Linked DNA regions of Drosophila melanogaster. The protein of the gene in region 2 interacts with the protein of the main gene of each other region in a pairwise test. Each region holds a gene or a part of one and is shown on either strand. Other genes may lie near its edges. The genes, in order: Pabp2, Pdha, dmrt93B and fd59A.

Region 1 (5,493 bases), on a different chromosome or scaffold from region 2:
TCTAAATTCATCCGTTTGCTCCTCGACAGGCCTCTGCCTCCGACTACAAGCTGCGCACCGCCGAGGATCTGCAGAGCGCGCGCAAGGAGTGTGCCGCCAGCAGCAAGGTGACCGAGGCCCTGATCGCCAAGTACAAGACCTTCGACTATCCCGACGATGACATCACCCGCAACTACATCCAGTGCATCTTCGTCAAATTCGACCTGTTCGATGAGGCCAAGGGCTTCAAGGTGGAGAACCTGGTGGCGCAACTGGGCCAGGGCAAGGAGGACAAGGCCGCGCTGAAGGCCGACATCGAGAAGTGCGCCGACAAGAACGAGCAGAAGTCGCCCGCCAACGAATGGGCCTTCCGTGGCTTCAAGTGTTTCCTTGGCAAGAACCTGCCCCTCGTGCAGGCCGCCGTCCAGAAGAACTAGGAGTTCAGCGCAGTTCCACATCAATTCTAGAAGCGAAAGATCAATCAACACGCAAGCAACGCGGCATTTTCGAGTTGAAATCCGCTCAGGCTCTGCAATCCTACGATTGAAATAAAACCATATAATAGTGCTTTTGAATGAAGAATGTTCTTTTTATTATTCACAATATTTCTGAGGGCTGGAAGAGAGGTAGGGCTGCTGGTGGTGGCAGGAATCAAGCTGTTACTCGCATCCTCAATCCCAAAAAACCTTGTCCCGCCCAAAGGAAAGGCATTGATAGCTTATTTAATTCGATTATATTTGTCTTCATCTTTTTCGCTTTAGTAAATTCAACTTCTTTTCTTATCTTCTCTTTACTCTATATATTTTTTTTTTAAATATATAAATTACACACGCACTTTTTATATATTTTGTTGATTTACTTCTTTCCCAAGAGTCTTGTGTTCTTTTGATTTTTTTTTTATATTTTCTTCCTTCTTTATTTGCTTTTGCCATCTTTTAACTTCTTTTATTTGGGGTTTGTGGTTTCTTTTGCGCTTCTTTTATATATACTTATTGTTGTATATACTTTTTTGTTTTTTAAATCAACTTCTTGTTTTTCATAATCTTTTTTTTTTTTTTGATGTTTTATTGAAAATTAAAATGTGTGAAAAGGGGGTGTTTGGTGTTGGGTGCTTCAAAAAACATTATAGCCAAGTCAAGATATTCGTTTTCCTTGTTGATTTTTTATTATTTTCGAGGTCTCTTCTTTTCGCCTGTTTTCTTGCTGCTGATGCATTTTTTATTGAAACGATATTTTTTCTGGCGTTTTCTGTTGCGATTGTTTTCTCTTTTTTATTTAGCAAAGAAGTTTGGCAATAAAATAATGTTTTTTGAAATTATATTGTAAAAAAATCTGAAATCAAATAGTTAATGGATTAAAGACGACAGTCGGTAAATCGAATGGAAGCATTATAATAAAACCCAACACGCTGCGAATGAGAGCAAGGTATTCCCATAAAGGGTTCGGAAAATTATTCTGTTTTTGACCATAAATTTGATTGTTTTTATTTCCCGTAATGATCTACCAGCTATGCAAACTAAATCTATTTAGCTCCATAAAAACAAACGGCATTTTCTAACAACTTAAATTTAACATAAAAAGACGTCCTCATTGGTTTTATAAATTTTAAGAAAAAAAATGTATCAAAATATAAGAGATAGATATCGGATTACTTTATGTAACCGACATAAATCGGACGCAACCCACACATATAAAATTTCAACTATCAATTATTTTCAGTTCGAAATTGTCAACTTACCTTACTAGGGATTTTAATAAAACAATAATCAGTAAGGAGCGTAGTAATTGGCGCGACCACGGTAACCCCTTCTGGAACGAAAGACAGACCGGGATTAGCTCGATCCAATCGGGATTTTCCAGAGCCCACTTACATAGCTCTTCGGGCGCCTCGGAAGGTGGAGTGACAGCACGCCCGGGAGACACGGGCTCCTCGACCCCGGAAGCTGCCGCGTGCGAAACGGTTTGTGGTGGAGAGTCCAGGGCGGTTTGTGCGCTTCGACATTACCTGAAAGTCAATAGATTAAGCTAAAGTCAACTCTAAATATGTGCTTTCAAAATTGCGCTACGTAGGAGTCCCTAGGACTCATTCTATCCACATATGTACATGAGAGTTTGATAGGTAGCAGGACTAGCAAAAAGTGCTTCAGATACTCACCTTTATTTGACGCCCTCGGAAGAGGGTTTCGTTCATGGCCAATGCCGTCTCGACAAACTCCTTGGAACCAAACTCAATGTATGCGAATCCCTTGGGGTGCCCGTCAGCCTTGTTGCAGAGTATGGTTACTCGGTTGATTGTGCCGCATCCGTGGAAGTGGGCCTCCAGTTCCTCGGCCGATGCGCCGTAGTCCACATTGCCCACGTAGACGGACCGCGTGTCGATTTCCTGCTTCTCCTCAAGAGAAAGCGGGACTGTGGCCAAGCCGGTGGTAGACCCACCGGCCATTTGTTTGTCCACCTCCGACTGCATCTGCTTTATCTTCTCGGCCTCCTCTTCCATCTCCTTGACTCGAGCCTTTATGGCCTCCAGTTCCGGGTCGATTTGCATGCTGCCCTCCTCCTGGCGACGAGGAAAATATGAAATTTAGTGGTATTTGATTTGGAGCGATGAGCAAACGCCCGAAACCACAGCAGACAATGGAATGGAGTGGCGGTGCGAAGTGACGCTCTGAAAATGGCAGCCATTGCTGCGGTTTTCGGCTTTGTATATCCCCCAAAGCTTTGCGAGCTTTTCCAGGGAATTCGGCGGGCTTTCGCAAGGCGTGAGGCCAAGAAACTGGTTCTTGGGCACTGTCTACAAGGGCAACCCCAACTCACCTCGACCTCTGTGGCGATCTCAGTCTCTTGCTCCCCGTTCGTCTCCTCCAATGACTCCAGGAGCTGATCCTCGTTCAATGTGATATCTTCATCGGCCATTGCTTTGGATTTGGGTTTGTTTACGTCTGCTACAAAAGCTCGGTTTTGTTGGCGCAAAAGCTTCCGGCGTGGTACTCAAAACGGCAGTTGTCGTAACTATGTATGTATGGTAGCTGTCAATGAGAAAAGGGCGGCGAAAGTGAGCATAAAGAGCGTAAAACATTAAGAGCGCGAATGAAGAGTTCATCATGCAAATGCAGTGAAAATCCAAGCCATAAGTAAATAAATTCAGGCTGCGGACACCGAAATGTCTAGGTTTCACTGCGTTCGCACTACTACACTGATATTTAATTAAACACACTGTACTTACGTTTAATAAATGTACAAATTACGAGCTCGTTCTGCTGACGTTGAGTTCGCCCAAAATGGCTGCCCTGTGAAAACACACGTACGCTGGGTTGCTGGGTTGCTGTTTTTCGTTCAAAAGTCTACGTTTTTAAACCCTTTTCGACTTTGTTTCGCGCCACACCACGTCAGCATAAATATTTATTTATAAGCTTATTTATTTATTATTTACTAATATTTACAACTATACGAAAACGTACGTAGTTTTTGACACAAATTGAAACAGATTTGTGTTCGCCTCGTTTTTACCGATGACAGTTTTCGCCTCGATAGTTTCGATGGTTTGGTGGTGGGTTTACCTATCGATAACTGCCGGTATTTAAGAAAGCAGTTCTTTGGATGATAAAAATAATAGTATTTTCACACCACAATGCCATTTTAAATTTACCATAGGAAGGAAAGAAGAGGAATGTGCACGCACATTTCTAACAAGGTTTTGTAAATGGGAATCAGACAAATTATTGTTTAAGGAAGTCATATATTGCGAAATAACGCCATCATTCAACCATCAATCAGGGCCCATGCATAACGATAAAAGGAGAACATGAACGATTCCTCCGATTCGGAGTACGAGGACACAGAGTACCTGGTATTTGCGGATTTCAAGAACCACATTCATCCGCACCAGCTGAAGCACGAGGACGCGGCCATTAAGATCATCGGAATCGAGAGTGACACGCCCATGGCCGAGGTAAATGGAAGCATTTATCGGGGACGCTACGAACATTCCGTGGGAACCAACGTGTTCTTTGAGAAGGAAAAAGACAATCTGGCAAGTGATCCGCTTTTTGAGTCAGTGTGTCGCCAGCGGTACCAGTACGTGGACAAATCCACCAAGGTGATATCTTTTGAAAGGGTCTACGTGGACAATTTGCACCAGGAGGTGGAGAAGTCGGCTGAGACTGAAGAGGACGATCAGACCGAGCCAAAGCCAGAATCTCTGAAGCTAAATATAACTTACAAGGAGGCTATTAACAAGTTTGGAGAAGATCATTGAGTGTGGAGAACTGAGTCTAATCCTGAACAAAAAACACTCTTTCAAGACATACCTCTTAGTACCATGGATACCACCTATATTACAACGAATCCAGCTTTAAGCCTGCGAGACTTTCTAGCCGACTATCAAAAGAAAATATCCGGTACTGCAGACGAAGTGCCCTTCTTTCTCCAAAAAAACCCAGTACTTGTCGACGTGTCTGAAAGCTGTTCCCTGGACTTGATCGAGTCCCCAGACGACAGCTCGATTGCAGTCTTCCAGCCCGCCGCAGACAAATGCCGCCCAACCTTTTCTCCGCCGCAGGAGAACCAGCATGTGCCCTCCACTTTTACTGCTCTAAGCCAGCACAAGGACAAGTCCCGTAAGTGTCCCTTTGGCCGCACCCAGTACAGCCACAAACTGAATCCGACGCCGACAGACTCGCCTAACCTGCACATCGATGCTTGCGGCGAACTGGAGCTAACCGTGCGTCTATATCGACCACCGCGGGCCTACCATCGCGGGTTTAAGGTGGAGATTCCCGTTTTCGCCGAGGAGTTCGTATGTCTGGGCAGCAATTATCTGACCGAGCTGCGGGACAAGATCAGCTGCGTTTGCAATGGAAAACGGTTTGTCGACATCAGCGACGATCCAGATGCACCGTTGCCATCCATTGACACAAATCCCGGTTACTTCTTCATCAACGACACATTCTACAACGACCAGCGCAATCCGGACAATCCCGACTATTCCAAGACCGTCTTGCAGTGGGCTGCCAGAGCGAACGGAGTGAACGGAGAAACGCTTAAGGTGGAGAGTATGGAGGGCAAAAGATTCATCGATCTCACTGTCAGCCCCGGATCACCGCTACACTACCTGCACCACGGCAATTGCGAACACCTGTTTGTGATCTCCCAGGTAGAGGTGCTAACGCCACTTAGTAAACGGCCAGATCGCAGCCTGTATCCCTATCCTCACGCCTTCAGTACGTTTAATCGCAGGACTTGCTATATGTGCGGCATTCGCAGCTATAGCTTCATCGTGAACCAGTCCCGGCGACAGCTGCACGATCCCTCCTACCTGTGCCGCAGATGTTTTCTCAGCTTCTTTTACGTGGATGGTGTCAAGCTGGGCCAGTTCAAAGCCTATCGCATGTATGACCATGTAGAGCTGGAGGGCGAAGAGGAGGACATTAAACAGCAAAATCTCCCCTCCTGAATATACATATACATTTGTGTGATTTTTTCTTTATTTGCGAGCTCCTTTGACTGCAAGATCGC
Region 2 (5,240 bases):
TGCTTAAATTATTTTATTTTACAATGTGTCTTGGTTACTTAAGACTAACAGATTTTTAATCCTAAAAAAGATAGGGAGAATTATAATAGTTGATATAACATAGTAATTATTATTTATTTGATTATTCTAATGAATTTTAAAACTAAGACTTTCTAGGTCAAAACCAGGTTAGGGAGGTCATGAGGGTGGTGTGCAAGCAGTAATAAAACAAAAAGGCGGAGAAAGTCGAAAGCAAAAGCAAAGACAAAATAAATAATTATCATCTTGTCGTTTATATAAGTGTGTGCTATGTGTTTCTCCGAATCGGATTTATGTTATATAAAACAGAAGAACAGTAACAATTTAAAGGCAAATTTCAAGGAATGAAAGCGAACAGTAATAAGAAACAAGGAAACCAAAAAGTAAATATATATATTCATGCAAGAAATACAAAATAAAGTAAACATTGGTGTAAATTAAGCAAGAACCTAAGTAAAACCTACTAAAAACAACCAAAAAAAATAAGAAGCTTAATACGTAATTTCCTGAAAACAACAGAAGACATATGCAGAAATCACACACATTTACCGTTACTTTTCACACACATACAGCACCTCTCTCTCTTTAGCTATTGCGTTTTAGATTATTGCTCAGCACGTTTTTGCGTAGACACAAAACTATTTATGCTAACGGTAAGATAGAACCTCCTCTCTCTCTCTCACCCACACACACACACACCTCCCCCACTTACACACACACAAGCACTCGCAAAAACAAGAAGACGAAGAGAAAAACTAAATTTTTTTCTTATAATCGGAATGCCGGATTTCTAACGGGAAAGGAAACAAAAACACAACAGGACTTCTAATAAGTGTTTATACATACAAATATATATATATATACATGTACATGTATACATATGAAACAAAACAAAAAACAAAGCAAAGCATAATTTTTTGTCATAATGCAAAATATTTGTGTGAGAAACCAATTTTTGATGTAACAGAAAAACGCGCGAAAAATTGAATATGTGTAACGGTAACAGAGCAAAAGATAGATAAAAGAAAGTAAAAAATTTATTTCATTCGCTTAGTTTTTCCCAAACGATCGATCCATTTCCTCATTTTCCGTTAGTAACTTTTAAACTCAAATCTTTTAGCTGCCATTTCTAAAGCAAAAAAAAAAAAATGAAACAACAAACCGAGAAACCAACAAATACAAAAACTAGTTTAAAATCTTAGTTTGTAAAGCGTTTATTTGAATTTAACTGTTTAATTCTACTTTACCTATTTCTATTTAACTGGTTTTTTGTGCAAGGAACAAACATTACTTAAGTTTTTGTAAGAGATTAGTGAATTATGTGAGCTGAGTGCGATATAGAGCAGTATTGCAATTGCAACTGCAATCGCAAATGTGGATTTATGGAGGCAATTTCAAGTAACAATACGAGTAAGAAATGAGAAAGCAAACAAAAACCAAATGAGATCTTCAATGTGAAATAAAAGTACTTCTTTGAAAACCCTCGTTTTATTTGGGCGGCAAAGTAATATAAAATGTGATTGAGTAAGTATTTATTCGAGTATTTCAATAACCGCCAAACACTACTATTATTTTGATATAACATTGTGTGACACATTATATAAAAGCTTATTGAATATTTTACGTAAACATTTATATTTCAAGTTATATTGAAAAAGAAAGTTCGATAAGCTAATTTAGTATTTTTTGAAAACAGGGAAAGCTGCAGTATTTTATTTAGGGTCACACTAATAGGCCAAGTGGTGCGTTATTTTTCGCTATAACGCCAAACGGTTGTTATAGTTGTGCAATATAGTAGTTGATAAACTAATCTCGCTACCTTTTTTTCCGATTGTTTAACTTACAACGACGCGCGGCGGTGCGACTGAGACACCAGATATATAGCGTGCGATTCTAGATCCGGACAATCCGCATATAGAAAGCCCCCATTCACATCCAATTTCTGTCAGTCGAACGAGAATAACACAGCGAAAATGTTGCGTACTCTGTCACGCGTTAGCGAATTGCCCATTATTGTTAAGCAACTGCAAAAAGTACGTAATCCCAATCCCGCTTTGCACCCACTAACATTTCTAATTGTTGTCACTAAAAATGCAATTGAACAAATCCATTCGATAATGAAAACACTAAAAGCGTTGCCATAACAACAACAACAACAACATCATCATCAGCGGATGTCGGATACTTAGCAACAACAACAACAACAGCAGCATCGATATCATCAGGAATGGGAGATATTCATCGTCGTTTTTCGGTTTATTCCAGAATGCAGCCCAAGCAGGTGTTTCGAAAACCAACAATTATGCCACGGAGGCCACCGTTCAAGTGAATCGGGTGCGTATTATAGCATTAAGTACTTGTAACTCAGGAAAATTCAAAAGTCGGAAGGGAAAAAATACGGTTACATAATGCGATTTTCGCCAGATAGCAAACGGTTTGCGTGTGTGTGTGTGTGTGTGTAAGTGCAGGGTTGCATTTTGCCGGTCAATCCGCTCATTTTCAAATGACAAGGTCACGCAGTAATTTGTAGTTTTCCGTCTCCCACGCTCTTTATCACCGTCTGCCTTTTGCGTGGCCGACGCGTGACTGTTCACGCACCATATAACATATAGTCTTATCAACGATCCGCCGATTTTCACCCTCTCTCTCTTTCTCTCCGTCTGTCTGTCTGGCTCTCTGTTTACGTCGATTCTCACGCCATAAATTAGCCGCCATAAATCCAAATTTGGTTTTTGGAGCATACTTCCGAAAATCCTCGATATGTGGTTATAGCTCTCTATAGATTAGTATACTTTGATTAGAGAAGCTTGAAGCCTATGGTTATTTGGTTTATCCAATCAAACTGCTATCATTTTATTACTTATCATGCGTTCCAAACGTTTCCGTTACGTTCTTATCAGATGTGTGTGTCAGTTGTTAATGTAAAAGTAGAAAACGTTTTTAAAATTAATGAAGTTTAGGGATCTAAATTCTAAATATGCTTTCCAACTTTGCAGCCCTTCAAGCTGCACCGCCTGGACGAAGGACCCGCCACGGAAGTGAAGCTGACCAAGGATCAGGCCCTCAAGTACTACACACAGATGCAGACGATCCGTCGGTTGGAGACGGCCGCCGGTAATCTGTACAAGGAGAAGATCATTCGCGGCTTCTGTCATCTGTATTCCGGCCAGGAGGCATGCGCCGTTGGCATGAAGGCGGCGATGCGGGATGTGGACAACATCATCTCGGCGTACCGTGTCCACGGATGGACCTACCTGATGGGCGTCTCACCCAGCGGCGTACTGGCTGAGCTCACCGGTGTCCAGGGTGGCTGTGCCCGCGGCAAGGGTGGCTCCATGCACATGTACGCACCGAACTTCTACGGAGGCAATGGCATCGTGGGTGCTCAAGTTCCTTTGGGTGCCGGCGTTGGCTTGGCCTGCAAGTACAAGGGCAATGGCGGCATGTGCCTGGCCCTCTACGGTGATGGTGCCGCCAATCAAGGACAGGTGTTCGAGGCTTACAACATGGCCTACCTGTGGAAACTGCCTGTGATCTTTGTCTGCGAGAACAACAACTACGGTGAGTGCTGTAGAAAGTGGAACAATGCTAAAAGATATTTACTTAAACCAAATGTTGTATAATTATACCCATTAGGAATGGGCACCAGTTCTGAGCGTGCTTCCTGCAACACTGATTACTATACCCGCGGCGACGCTCTGCCCGGAATCTGGGTGGACGGCATGGATGTGCTGGCCGTGCGCAGCGCCACCGAGTTCGCCATCAACTATGTGAACACTCACGGACCTTTGGTGATGGAGACGAACACGTACCGATACTCTGGACACTCCATGTCCGATCCGGGCACATCGTACCGCACACGCGAGGAGATCCAGGAGGTGCGCCAGAAGCGTGATCCCATCACCTCCTTCAAGGAGCTGTGCATCGAGCTGGGTCTGATTACCACCGATGAAGTTAAGGTGGGTTTGGCTTATAGGGTTTTATTTTTGTTATGAGTTATGATTGCTAAAAGAAAAAAACATCTTCCAGGCCATCGATCTGAAGGTACGCAAGGAGGTCGACGAGGCCACCGCCTTCGCCAAGTCCGATGCCGAGCTGGGCGTGAGCCACCTCTGGACGGACGTGTACTCCAACAATCTGGAGCCCAAGCTGCGCGGCACCATCGCCTACGATATTGATCACATCCAGGAGCGCAAGGGCGTCAATCACTAAGTCATCGGGCCAACGAATCTGATTCGGGAACTCACAAGAACCTTAAACGAAACAAGAAAACCGAACAGCAAACACAAATCACTGACAGACAGACAAGAAGACACAATAACTCAGAAACTTGGACACAAGCGAAATCTCTAGATCATAAGCCGAAAGTTGAACGATGAGAACCCCGTAGAACGGAACGGATCCGAAGAGACCCACAAAAAGCTTAGCTAATCGGAGCACTCCAACCACACATCGTAGCGCACCACATAACTCTGGGGTACTGCATTGGATATTATATTGCGAACGTGTTCAATAAGGATAAAGCGAGGTGTAAATTGTTGAAAATATAAAAATCTAGAAAAATTAATCCAAATTAGTTTTCTTAACAAAAGTGAATCAAGTATGTACTTTTGAAATGTGAAAATCTCAGTCTGTTTCACCTATACTTGCACTATAGAATTTTGATAGATTTATAAGATATTAATAAACGGAATAGATTTAATAGATAATTCGATTTGTGGAAGAATTACAGTTCGAATCAAAGTAGTATTTGAAAAGGAGCAGTTGTCAGCTCCATAAGCAATCCCAAAATCGTTATATTTCCTTCTCGTTCTGTTTAGTGACAGTTGCCATCTCTGTCGATTTGCTTATGATTTTACTGTCGATTTCTTTTCGGTTGAGTACAAATCCATTTTTCAACAATTTCCGATCATATTCAAAATTTTAGTGCGTGGCAATTGCCCATTTGGCTACAAGCTCATTTTAGTGCCCCGGTGTTTGGGAATTGGTATTCGGGCAAGGGCCAATGATGAAGTTCAGTTGTGTCCGCGTGGCGATGAGATGCAGTGGAGCCCACTCCATCCTCGAGAGAAATATGCTCTGCAGGATAATAGGGCGCCACAAATGTAGCTGTTTGACCCTGGAGAACGTAAGTGTTTTGATTATCACAAGAAGGTCAATGGATAAGTAAATACCATTGAAAAAAGCTATATCGTAAAAGTTATATTTTTCATTTTGAATTA
Region 3 (5,199 bases), on a different chromosome or scaffold from region 2:
TAAACGAAATGTGATTATTTATAGAAGATGGGCTTGATTGAAGGAGCAGGCTGGCTCTCGAGTGGGCTGATAAGCGTGGTGGCATAATTGAGTGCGGACCGGACACTGCCCTGAATCAGAATCACGTGCCGCATTCCCGGGAATGATCCGGTCCGATAGTGGAATCCAGATCGGCCTACCGCCGTTTATGGCGGTTGTATAACTTTATAGTAGCGCGACTGGAGCGCTCCCTAATTGAATTTGTTCGAGGCCATGTGCTGGCCGAGTGTCATGTACTTATTATCTATCTATGCATCTATCTATCTGGCAGATATCACGGGGATCTGGAGCATACGCACCTCTGACAACGTCGCCCTTATCGCCGCCGACGAAGGTACCATCGCTGTTGATTTGCACGGCGGCGATGTACTTGGCCACCGCCTCCACTGTGGACTTCTCGATGCGCCCGGCCTCGTGAAGTGTGTTCAGCAGAAAGGAGAGCGTGAAGAGCGAGTGCATCCGCACGCCGTGCTTGGCGATGTTGGCCACTCCGCCCTGCTCACGGTCTACGACGACCACGGCGTCGGTGACCACAATGCCCTCGCCTTGCAGATCCCGCACCGTGTCCAGGATGCTGGAGCCGGAGGTGACCACGTCCTCGACAATCAGACAGGTGTCGCCAGCATTGAAGATGCCCTCGACCAGCTTCTTGGTGCCGTACGCCTTGGCCTCCTTGCGCCGCACCAGCATGGGAGTTCCCTGCTGCACGGACACAATGGTGGCCAGCGGGAGCGCCGTGTAGGGAACACCGCACACGTGTTTGGCGCTCAGCTGCTTGTCCTTGATGTGTTCCACCAGCAGGTCGGATACGGTTTGCTGCGGGAAGACCAAGTTAGCTACTGCCATTGACATGGAGCACTAATCCCAAATACTGACCATCACATCCGGATAACTGACGATCACTCGGAGGTCGAAGTAGACCGGCGAATTTATGCCCACTTTCATCTTGAAGTCGCCGAACTTGAAGGCATTGATCTCGAAGAGCTTCAGGGCCAGGGCCCGCATTTTGTCGGAGTTCTGGGCAACCATGCTGGCAATTCTAAATCTCGATCTTAATTCTTCACACACGTGCTAGCTAGGCTCCAATAAGAACCGTCCAATTGGGAGTCTACGCTTTTTAAACATGCTGCCAGTGTGCACGTATCTGCTGTGACATTGGGGCACATTTCGAACACCCTAATTAAGGTACAAGTTCTGGTTGCGCCGCCTGGGTGGTTAACTTCGCTATGCCGCCAAACTTATCGAAGTTCAAATTATTATAAATGTCGTAGATTTTATCAACATTGGCTTCGAATTAATAAACGTTTATTATTAGTTATAGGGTAACAAAGTAGCATAAGTGTTAAGGTTTTGAAATAAACTATTTTGCATGTGAAATATTTCCCAAATTCATAAAATATATAACCTTTAGTTTCTGAGAAGTCTTAAGAAATTTCAAGGAAATGAATGGATGGATTATATACAATATTTTGTCCGCTGCATTGCTGTATTGTTCACTACTTAGCATTTGTAATCTGAAAGCTTTGGCTCCGCCCACAAACCCTTGACTGCAACTTCAAGGGGAGGAGTCTAGTCATTTTGCAACCACCAATGACAGTCCTGTAAGCTCATATTGCAAAATGAAAGCCAAAGCGCCTGCGTAAGTCAACAAAGTTTGCGCCATTCATTGAAACAATTCCAGATCCTTTGGCGCGTGTTTCCAAAATTTAGTTTCTTTTCGCTGGTCTCCAAATAAGTCGCAAATTTGTGCTCCAAAAGCGGCAACTTCTTAGTCGAAAAATCGGTTTTCTCTCAATCCATTTCTCGCCTGCGTTGCGATGGCCAGTTCAAGTGGTGAACCTGCTGATGAAGTGGCTAATAAGCGTCCTCGTCTTGTGGCTAATCCCAAGGCCACCAAAATAGTTGAACCCACACCGGCCAAGGTCACCAATCGGGTGCCCAAGTGCGCCCGCTGCCGGAACCATGGGATCATTTCAGAGCTGCGGGGTCACAAGAAGCTCTGCACCTACAAGAACTGCAAGTGCGCCAAGTGTGTCCTGATCTTTGAGAGGCAGCGGATCATGGCCGCTCAGGTAAGTTAGGATTTATATGCACGATGACAAGCAATCCTTTCTGCTTAATTGGCAATCATTGACATTACTATCCTCATTTTATGATTACTGCCCACTTGCTAACTTTAATGTCATCTATCCTGGATGGTAAAATCGCTATCCCAAAAATAGCTTTTTAAAAATTCGGTGCATTCGAATACAGAAAATTGCCTGGTTAGATCCATCCATAGACATCCAAACCATCCAGACCAGATATATTGCTCTAACATTCGGAGACTTTATTCCCAGTCCTTTAGAAAATTTCTTCTTGTAAAAACATATTCCCTTTATTAGCATTTACTTAAAATGACATATCAAATATTCTCAAAAGCCAAAAGTTTTCTAAAATAACTTCAGGATATTAATGTATAAATGTATAAGCATAAACGTAATTGTGTTTCATGTTGTATTGTTCGCAATGGATTCCGTGATCGATTTTTACTAGGTATAACTTTGAAACCCAATTTAAGCCTTTCGATTATAATTTAACTTGATTAATGTCACTGTTATATTTATAATTTACTAACCTGGGACGACAAACAAAAACACCTATTAGCAAGGGGAGCTTAAATTAACAATAGCACCGAAAACTCCGACATTTTCTTATATCGTGTTTTGTGACTTTGAATAACATTTTGGAAACATTAATTATTTTGGATTTCTGCGAAAATTGTTTTTTACAAATGATGTAAAAGAACTGTTAATAGGAAATACCTTTCCAACATATAGCACGTTTAACTTAAGTCGTTCAAAAATGGTGTGCGCGGAATATATAGCTGATCCAAACATCTTAGGAGACTTTCAATAACACGGTTTATTATAGTAGCAAATGCAATAGAATATAGATTATTATGTCCATATATTATATTGGAATGCAGATTATATTCCAGCCTGCCGTCGCTGTAATTCCAACACACAAGTTCAGAATCAACTCAATTCAAGAATAATTCAACAATTCAACATAGAAGGTGGATAGTTTTCCCAGCTATTTGTATCTGGCACATAATATGTAAGCCACCCCATCCGGATTCAATCAATCTGTGTAACTGAATTCAATTGCCAGCTTTCTTGGAAAAATAGTTAGCAATGCCATTTATATTGTGTTTAGATTAAGCGCTGGCCAAGTTCTCAATTCGAAACACAAATAGCCGATGGACACACCCCACTCCAGTGCCAAGTCAAACAGCCAATGAAACGGAATACGGGGAACAACTCCAAGCAGAACAAGGACAACCAGTCCTCCCCTTTAGACGATGACGATGATGGTGATGATGGAAAGTTGTCAAGGCGTAGGAACAAATCGACCAAAATATCCGCTTACCGAAACTGTTTGCACAAGTGTGTCTACGTCTCGCATTTCATTAGATCGCTGTGGATGAGCTAGGATGTGCTAGGATGTACTAGGATGTGCTAGGATGTGGGTGATACCCCAAGGAATTGCTGTGGCCTTTGTTTGCGGTTAAGTCAAACAGCAGCAAACGGACCAAGATGTTCACTTGTCGCATATTAATTTCCATTTGTGGGCTTTCAGGTTGCCCTGAAGCGCCAGCAGGCGGTGGAGGATGCGATTGCCATGCGGCTGGTGGCCAACAAGACGGGTCGTTCCATCGATGCACTGCCGCCAGGCAACATCTTCGGTCTGACCGTCACGCAGCCTAGTTCGCCGCGTGCCAAGCGGGAGGATGATCAGGTGGAGAAGACCATTTCGGAGGTGGAGCAGCAGCATTTGAAGCAGAGGGAGGAGGAGTACAGCGAATCGCCGGCGGTGGCGCAGGATCTCAGTGCTCCCCGAAGAGATAACGTCTCCCAAACGGCCATTGACATGCTTGCCCAGCTCTTTCCGCAGCGTAAGCGATCTGTCCTGGAGTTGGTCCTCAAGCGCTGCGATCTCGATCTGATTCGGGCCATTGAGAATGTCTCGCCCACTGGCAAGTCCTCGCCAGTGGATGTCACCAGCAACCAGTTGCCCAGCCAGGAGCCGGGCATGTTGACCACTATGCCACAGCCCGCGCCGCCCAGGAGCAGCGCCTTTAGGCCCGTGATAACAGATCAGGTAAGCGACCTAACTGCATAGTGCAAATTGTATAAAGTACCTTTTAGTTATAAGTGTACTTAAGTGAATATACCGGTTATTTCTATAGTATTATATTCTATAGTATACAGCAAATCTGTAACAGGTGTTTTGTGTTTTTACTTAAGTTCAACGGTCTGTATTTCCGCTTCCAGAATTCAATCAAGTCACGATTTGCGTGGTCCATGGAAGTAGGAAGTACCTAATGAAATATTTATTTAAGTACATACAAAATCTTACCTTTCAGTACCAGAGCAAATCGGTGGTGGAGCTAAAGCCGCCGGTCTTTGGAGGCAGTGCATCAGCGGCGGCGGCAGCGGCCATTTGTGCGTACCCCAAGTGGTTTGTGCCGCTATCCTTTCCGGTGACCATGGGTCACCTCTCCAATCTGGCGCCAAGATGCACCTTGCCCAATTGCGCCTGCTTGGACAGCTACCAGTTCCACTAGGAGACCACCCATCTAGTACTTACTAACTCGCATAACTATAGTTCTAATAAAATAAATTTATTTATCCTAACTACAAGCTAAACTAACTTATGAGTCAATGGGCCATCCTCTAGCTTCACTTGGGCGTCTCATCCGCCTCGCCTTCGTCTTCGTCGTCGTCCTCATCGTCCTCGGACAGATACATCCGATCCTCCTCGTCGCTTTGTTGGCCACACCTGCTTCCGCTGCCAAGATTCAACACGGGAACACTGCTGCTCGAGGCGCTGGAGGGTGATCCCACGGCAGCGCCTGCTATGGGTCCTTGGGCGGATGCACTGCGCTTGCTGAGATTGGCTCGTCGCCACTTGGCGCGCCGGTTCTGAAACCAGGTCTTCACCTGGCGGTCGGTCAGCTTGAGTTGGAGGGCCAGATGACGCCGTTCCTCCGGCGACAGGTACTTGGAGCTGGCGAAGCGAGCCTCGAGATTTTTGGTCTGCTGGGAGGTGAATCTGATCTGGCCGCCTTTTCGCTTCACGCCGAAGTTCGACATGTAGAAGCTGGCCGCCGGATAG
Region 4 (4,629 bases), on a different chromosome or scaffold from region 2:
CTGCTGGCGGATACCAATAGTTGGTGTTGGTATCTTCGGCGGCACACTGTTGTCCCGCTGCCAGGCGCAGCTTTTCATGTTTTAACACTGGAAGCCAACGGGACGCTCGTGGGAGAGCGGAGCTTTCGTTTGGTAGCGCCGAACTCCACGGCGTTCTATGGCGGCACAACTACGTCCTGCGCCAAATCAGCTGAGCGATGGTCACTGCGCAGGCGCTAAAGCTGAACTGATTTCCAGGCAGGGGTGCCACACCTGGACAGGTTTGCTGGGCGGTAAATTCAAATAACTCGGGGTGTTTTATTGCAAACAAAAGGTAACAAAACGTCGAAAAGAGGGATCCCTTTAAGGATATTATTACAAGGAAGAGAGTGGCCACATATAATAATATAATTATAAAAATAATACAATATTACAGGTATCAATAGGATTAAAAATTAATATTTAGTATACTACAAACATATTAGTAACATGCTGTAGTAGCTGTAGTAACAACACGTATATCGGTACCTACCAGTCAAACATGTATCCGTGTAAACTATTATTATGTTGTTGTTTATTCAATTTTCAATAACATCAGCAAAAATCTTAGTCTAATTTATAGTTAATAGTGTTCCTCTTGCTTGGATGTGTTACAGTTACACGCAGACGCACACGCACACACATACACATGATTAGTACTTGCATGGTAGATATAGGTCTAGAACCTGAAATCCCGACTCCAGACCCCAAGAATTCGTGTTAAAAGTATACTATAGACGTGCGATGCTTCAGATTTACATAGATATTACGCGCAGATATATGTTTAGTACGTAAGTGGACTGGCAACTATAGCGTTGACTTCGATTTGGTCGCATTTAAAAACTCGTGTGCTGGCTCCTACATCCTACGGATACACCTACTGATCACTACTTGCTGCTCGGATTGGATTCCTGGGGATTGCTGGTGGTGGTGTTAGTGGGCTGTTAAAACGTGCTTAGATCGAAACTGAAATCACCGTTCAATGGACTGTACACAAGCCAATTGGTTCAAGCGAGTGGGAATCCCGCCTAGTCGCTGGTCTCCTCCTGGCTGCCACCGCGATGCAGGTGGTGGCCAATCAGCGTCTCGATGCGAAAGTCCTTGGCGCTGCTCTGTTTGCTGGTCCGCAGAACCAGGGGCTCGCTATCGAAGCGTCTCCTTGGACTTGAATCGGACGCCTCGGCAGAAGCCTCAAAGATCAACGCTTCCGGCGGCGCATCCAGGCGATTTGTACAGGCGCTGTCCACCGAGTCCGAGATATGTGAGTCCTCCTGCTCATTGCCGCTCTCCACGTCGATCTTGTCCTCGCATGAGTCGTCATCTCCCTCGGCTTCCGCATCGGCCTCTGTGTCCGCATCGTCATTGTACACATTGAGATCCATGTAACCACCGCCGGCGGACAGTCGTTCTGCGTAATCCCTGTGGCCGGGAATGCCCGCAGCACTGGCCACAGTCGCCACATCGAAGGCGTATGGGCTTTTGTACTTGGAGCCACGGCTGCTCTCGGATCCCCCGCCCACTCCTCCGCCGGAGCCACTGCTGTGCGGTAGTGCATCCAGGACATCCGCTCCTCGACCGCGATTCATGAAGGGCAGCCGGTCGAACTTGTCCCCCGACTGACTTCCCTGGTAGAAGGATGCTTCGGCATTCGCAAAGAAGTTAAACTTCTTGTCCGCTCGCAGCGCTGAGTCAAAGACATCCGCCGGATTGTGGACCACGTCGAACTCCCTGCTCCCATTGAAGTTGGGCACGTTGAAATGCACTGGCACGAGGGGCACGGGCTTGCGTATCCAAAATGGAGACAGCGTGCCAAAGACCGCCGGAAACGAGAAGCGTTGCATGGTGGGCGCCCGTTTGTAGCGCTTCCGCCGGCGCAGGAAACTGCCGTTGTCGAACATGTCCTCCGCCAGCGGGTCCAGCGTCCAGAAGTTGCCCTTTCCGGGATTTCCCGGCTCGCGGGGCACCTTTATGAAGCAGTCGTTCAGGCTGAGATTGTGCCGGATGGAGTTCTGCCAGGCGGGGAATTTGTCCTTGTAGTATGGAAAGCTACAAGTAAAATGCACAAGTTATTTAACATTTTTTCGAGGAATTTTTTTTAAAGAATTTGGTTGTTTATCTAGATCACTTACATTGCAATCAGTAAATAAAATATCACATTTTAAAATTTATAATTTTTGAAATCGATTAAAGCACTGAATGTCTCTTCTTTTCTATGTTTTCAATTGAAATTTTATAGGATTTATTTATTTTTATCGTCTTTACAAACTACTACTTTTATTCTCTTTTTCTGATGTTTTAAGATAACTTGGAAAAAATCAAACTATTGCTTCTTCATTTAAGGATATTAACTTTGCTGGCAAACTCACCGCGACATGATGAAATCGCAGATCCCGCTGAGCGTGAGCTTCTTGTGCGGTGACTGAAGAATGGCCATGGTGATTAGAGCTATGTAGGAGTATGGTGGCTTTACCAGGGGACCACCCGAAGATCCCGAGCCGTCTCCGTTGCCGCCGGCGGCACCACTTCCGCCCATGGACGACGGCTCGATGTCGCTGTCGTCGCAGCCCATGGACATGGCATCTGCGGCGGCAGTGCGCGAGGACGCACTGCATCCGATTCCGTTGCCGATGGAGGAGCCGCCTCTGGAGCTTTTGATGAGCGGCGGCGAGAGGGAGACGCTGTCGTGCAATGTGTGCATGGGATCCGTGCTGGTGTGCATGTCTTAGCGGGTATACACTGTAGTCTATTTGAGTCCGCGAATTGGACTCACTAAATTTAGAGGACGCAACACTGTTATTTAACTATTTTGCTCAGGAACTGTGTTCGTTTTGGCGTTTCACTTGCTTCACTTGGCATTTGCATATGCTTTTCGATTCAACTTGGAATTTGATATTTTCTTTTCTATTTCCGCTTCCGTTAACCGTTCGCTGTTACCGTCGTTTCCGGTTTAGCTGCTAGGATAAACTGTACATATGGCCAGCAGTGGTGTGGAAAGTGGAAAGTTGGCTAGCGCCTAGTCCGTCGTCGCGTCCGTTGAAGGCGGAATCCGCTGGCCAAATGTTAACTGAATCGCAACGAAAACGAAAATCTTCTCGCCCAAAATGTTTTTCTACATAACTCAAACATTTATTTATGAAAAACCGCTGCCATTGCCGCTGCCGCTGACGTTTCCCTGAGCTTTTGTGTCGCCGTTGCTGTGTTTTCGTATCTCGAATAACTGTGATTCTACTGCCGACGTCGCCGTTGGCGCGGGCAGAGCATCCTGACGGCATCCTGGCAGCATCCTGGCTGCGCCCCGACAGCATCGCAGCAGAGGGAGAGAGAGCAAGAGAGCCCGGCCAAGCCTCTCTTTCTAGCGGGGGATGGGTTGATATCCTGCGAACCAATCTATGCGAACTAGCTCGTGCCATCCCTCTCCCACTCGCTGCAAGTCCTCACAAAATGGTGGAGAGCCCTGGCTGTAAATGCGATATTTGTGTTTTCCTCTCTCCAAGCGGCGGCAAATTGGCAGCGACTGCAGAAGCCAACGAACGCGGCGGTGGGGGGGATAAACATTTTGCGCAAATTTAGATACCTTTTGCCGCTTTGACGTCGTGGCTCTTAATAATGTTTCATTATGTCAGCCACATGGAGGCAGGCGTCCTTTTCCCCTGCGGCCCTCCCTCGTCCTCGCACTCGCCCTGCCAACCACCACTCTGCTCCTCTGCCCCAAATGTTATGCTTCAAATGTTGGCATTTTTATGTGCGAATGTTTTTCTAACCGTATGTCGACGTTTCTTGGTTTCTCTCGGGCTCGCAATCTCATTCCCAGCCCTCTGTCCCTATGCACAGAAAGAAAAAAAAGAAAAGAATCTAATTATGTGTTTAATTATGTAAAGTCCAAATTCCACAAATCTTACTTAAGTTAAGTAACGAAGTTATAGGGACTTTTCTTTGCAGTTAGATAAGTAGAATTGTATTTATTTTCATAGGATATATTTTGTTGGTTATTCTAAGAACGATTAACTGAAATATGTATATAATACAATGTATTATTATTAAATACATTTAAAAAAAAAAAAAATGCATAGAACAGTTATGTCATTTTAGCAATGCGAAAAAACCGAAATAAAATATAATTTTAAAACAATACATACAATATACAATACATCTAATATAGATAATATTGGTTTTTTTTCTGTATATTTTATTTGGGTGTGGAAGTGAGATGGAATCAAATGCACCATTTTCACCAACATCCTCCGAGCACAATGGGGGCTACTAGAGTGAGAGAGAGAGAGCAGTAGAGTGGGTGGGACGGGAGGGGGTTGGACGTACATGTGTTTGCTGCATTTGTACTTGTATCCAAGTGAGTTTTGTACTATTTCTCTTTTTCATTTTCGCTGTTTTTGTTCTCCAGTTGTTAGACATTGTTGTTGTAGCCATTGTTGTTGTTCGCCATTCAGTGTTTGGAGCCTTCCCTTTTCAAATTAAACATTCAGTAGTCACTTTTATTTGTTGTACTTTGTTCAAATTAGTTTTCCAGTTTTGCGGAAGTTACCCACACACAACCAAACACTCACTCACACACACAGATGCATGGAAACAGACACGAATACAATAAGGGCCGCC

The links.
Region 1: the proteins of Pdha (region 2) and Pabp2 interact in a two-hybrid assay, tested with the Drosophila melanogaster proteins (one large-scale study listed by BioGRID).
Region 3: the proteins of Pdha (region 2) and dmrt93B interact in a two-hybrid assay, tested with the Drosophila melanogaster proteins (one large-scale study listed by BioGRID).
Region 4: the proteins of Pdha (region 2) and fd59A interact in a two-hybrid assay, tested with the Drosophila melanogaster proteins (one large-scale study listed by BioGRID).

Annotation. Positions count from the first base shown.
Region 1 is NT_033778.4:8,129,433-8,134,925, reverse strand, and holds Pabp2 (Pabp2), read right to left. Parts: upstream 3,496-5,493; 5' UTR 3,203-3,495; intron 3,006-3,202; 5' UTR 2,893-3,005; coding exon 2,794-2,892; intron 2,537-2,793; coding exon 2,135-2,536; intron 1,985-2,134; coding exon 1,851-1,984; intron 1,786-1,850; coding exon 1,746-1,785; 3' UTR 1,718-1,745; exon of another isoform or gene 1,449-1,717; intron 1,312-1,448; 3' UTR 552-1,311; downstream 1-551. Other genes in the region: Obp44a (Odorant-binding protein 44a), read left to right, coding at 30-416; CG42516 (uncharacterized protein), read left to right, coding at 3,782-4,234; Pbp49 (PSEA-binding protein 49kD), read left to right, coding at 4,298-5,431. UniProt on the Drosophila melanogaster protein: Involved in the 3'-end formation of mRNA precursors (pre-mRNA) by the addition of a poly(A) tail of 200-250 nt to the upstream cleavage product.
Region 2 is NC_004354.4:4,700,541-4,705,780, forward strand, and holds Pdha (pyruvate dehydrogenase E1 alpha subunit), read left to right. Parts: upstream 1-1,784; 5' UTR 1,785-1,991; coding exon 1,992-2,051; exon of another isoform or gene 2,052-2,151; coding exon 2,152-2,352; intron 2,353-3,014; coding exon 3,015-3,579; intron 3,580-3,654; coding exon 3,655-3,977; intron 3,978-4,047; coding exon 4,048-4,230; 3' UTR 4,231-4,725; downstream 4,726-5,240. Other genes in the region: CG7024 (uncharacterized protein), read left to right, coding at 5,024-5,146.
Region 3 is NT_033777.3:21,072,151-21,077,349, forward strand, and holds dmrt93B (doublesex-Mab related 93B), read left to right. Parts: upstream 1-1,856; coding exon 1,857-2,111; intron 2,112-3,660; coding exon 3,661-4,182; intron 4,183-4,447; coding exon 4,448-4,648; downstream 4,649-5,199. Other genes in the region: r-l (rudimentary-like), read right to left, coding at 339-855, 916-1,068; HHEX (hematopoietically expressed homeobox), read right to left, coding at 4,764-5,199.
Region 4 is NT_033778.4:22,866,610-22,871,238, reverse strand, and holds fd59A (forkhead domain 59A), read right to left. Parts: upstream 3,081-4,629; 5' UTR 2,738-3,080; coding exon 2,385-2,737; intron 2,065-2,384; coding exon 1,047-2,064; 3' UTR 533-1,046; downstream 1-532. UniProt on the Drosophila melanogaster protein: Involved in development during embryogenesis.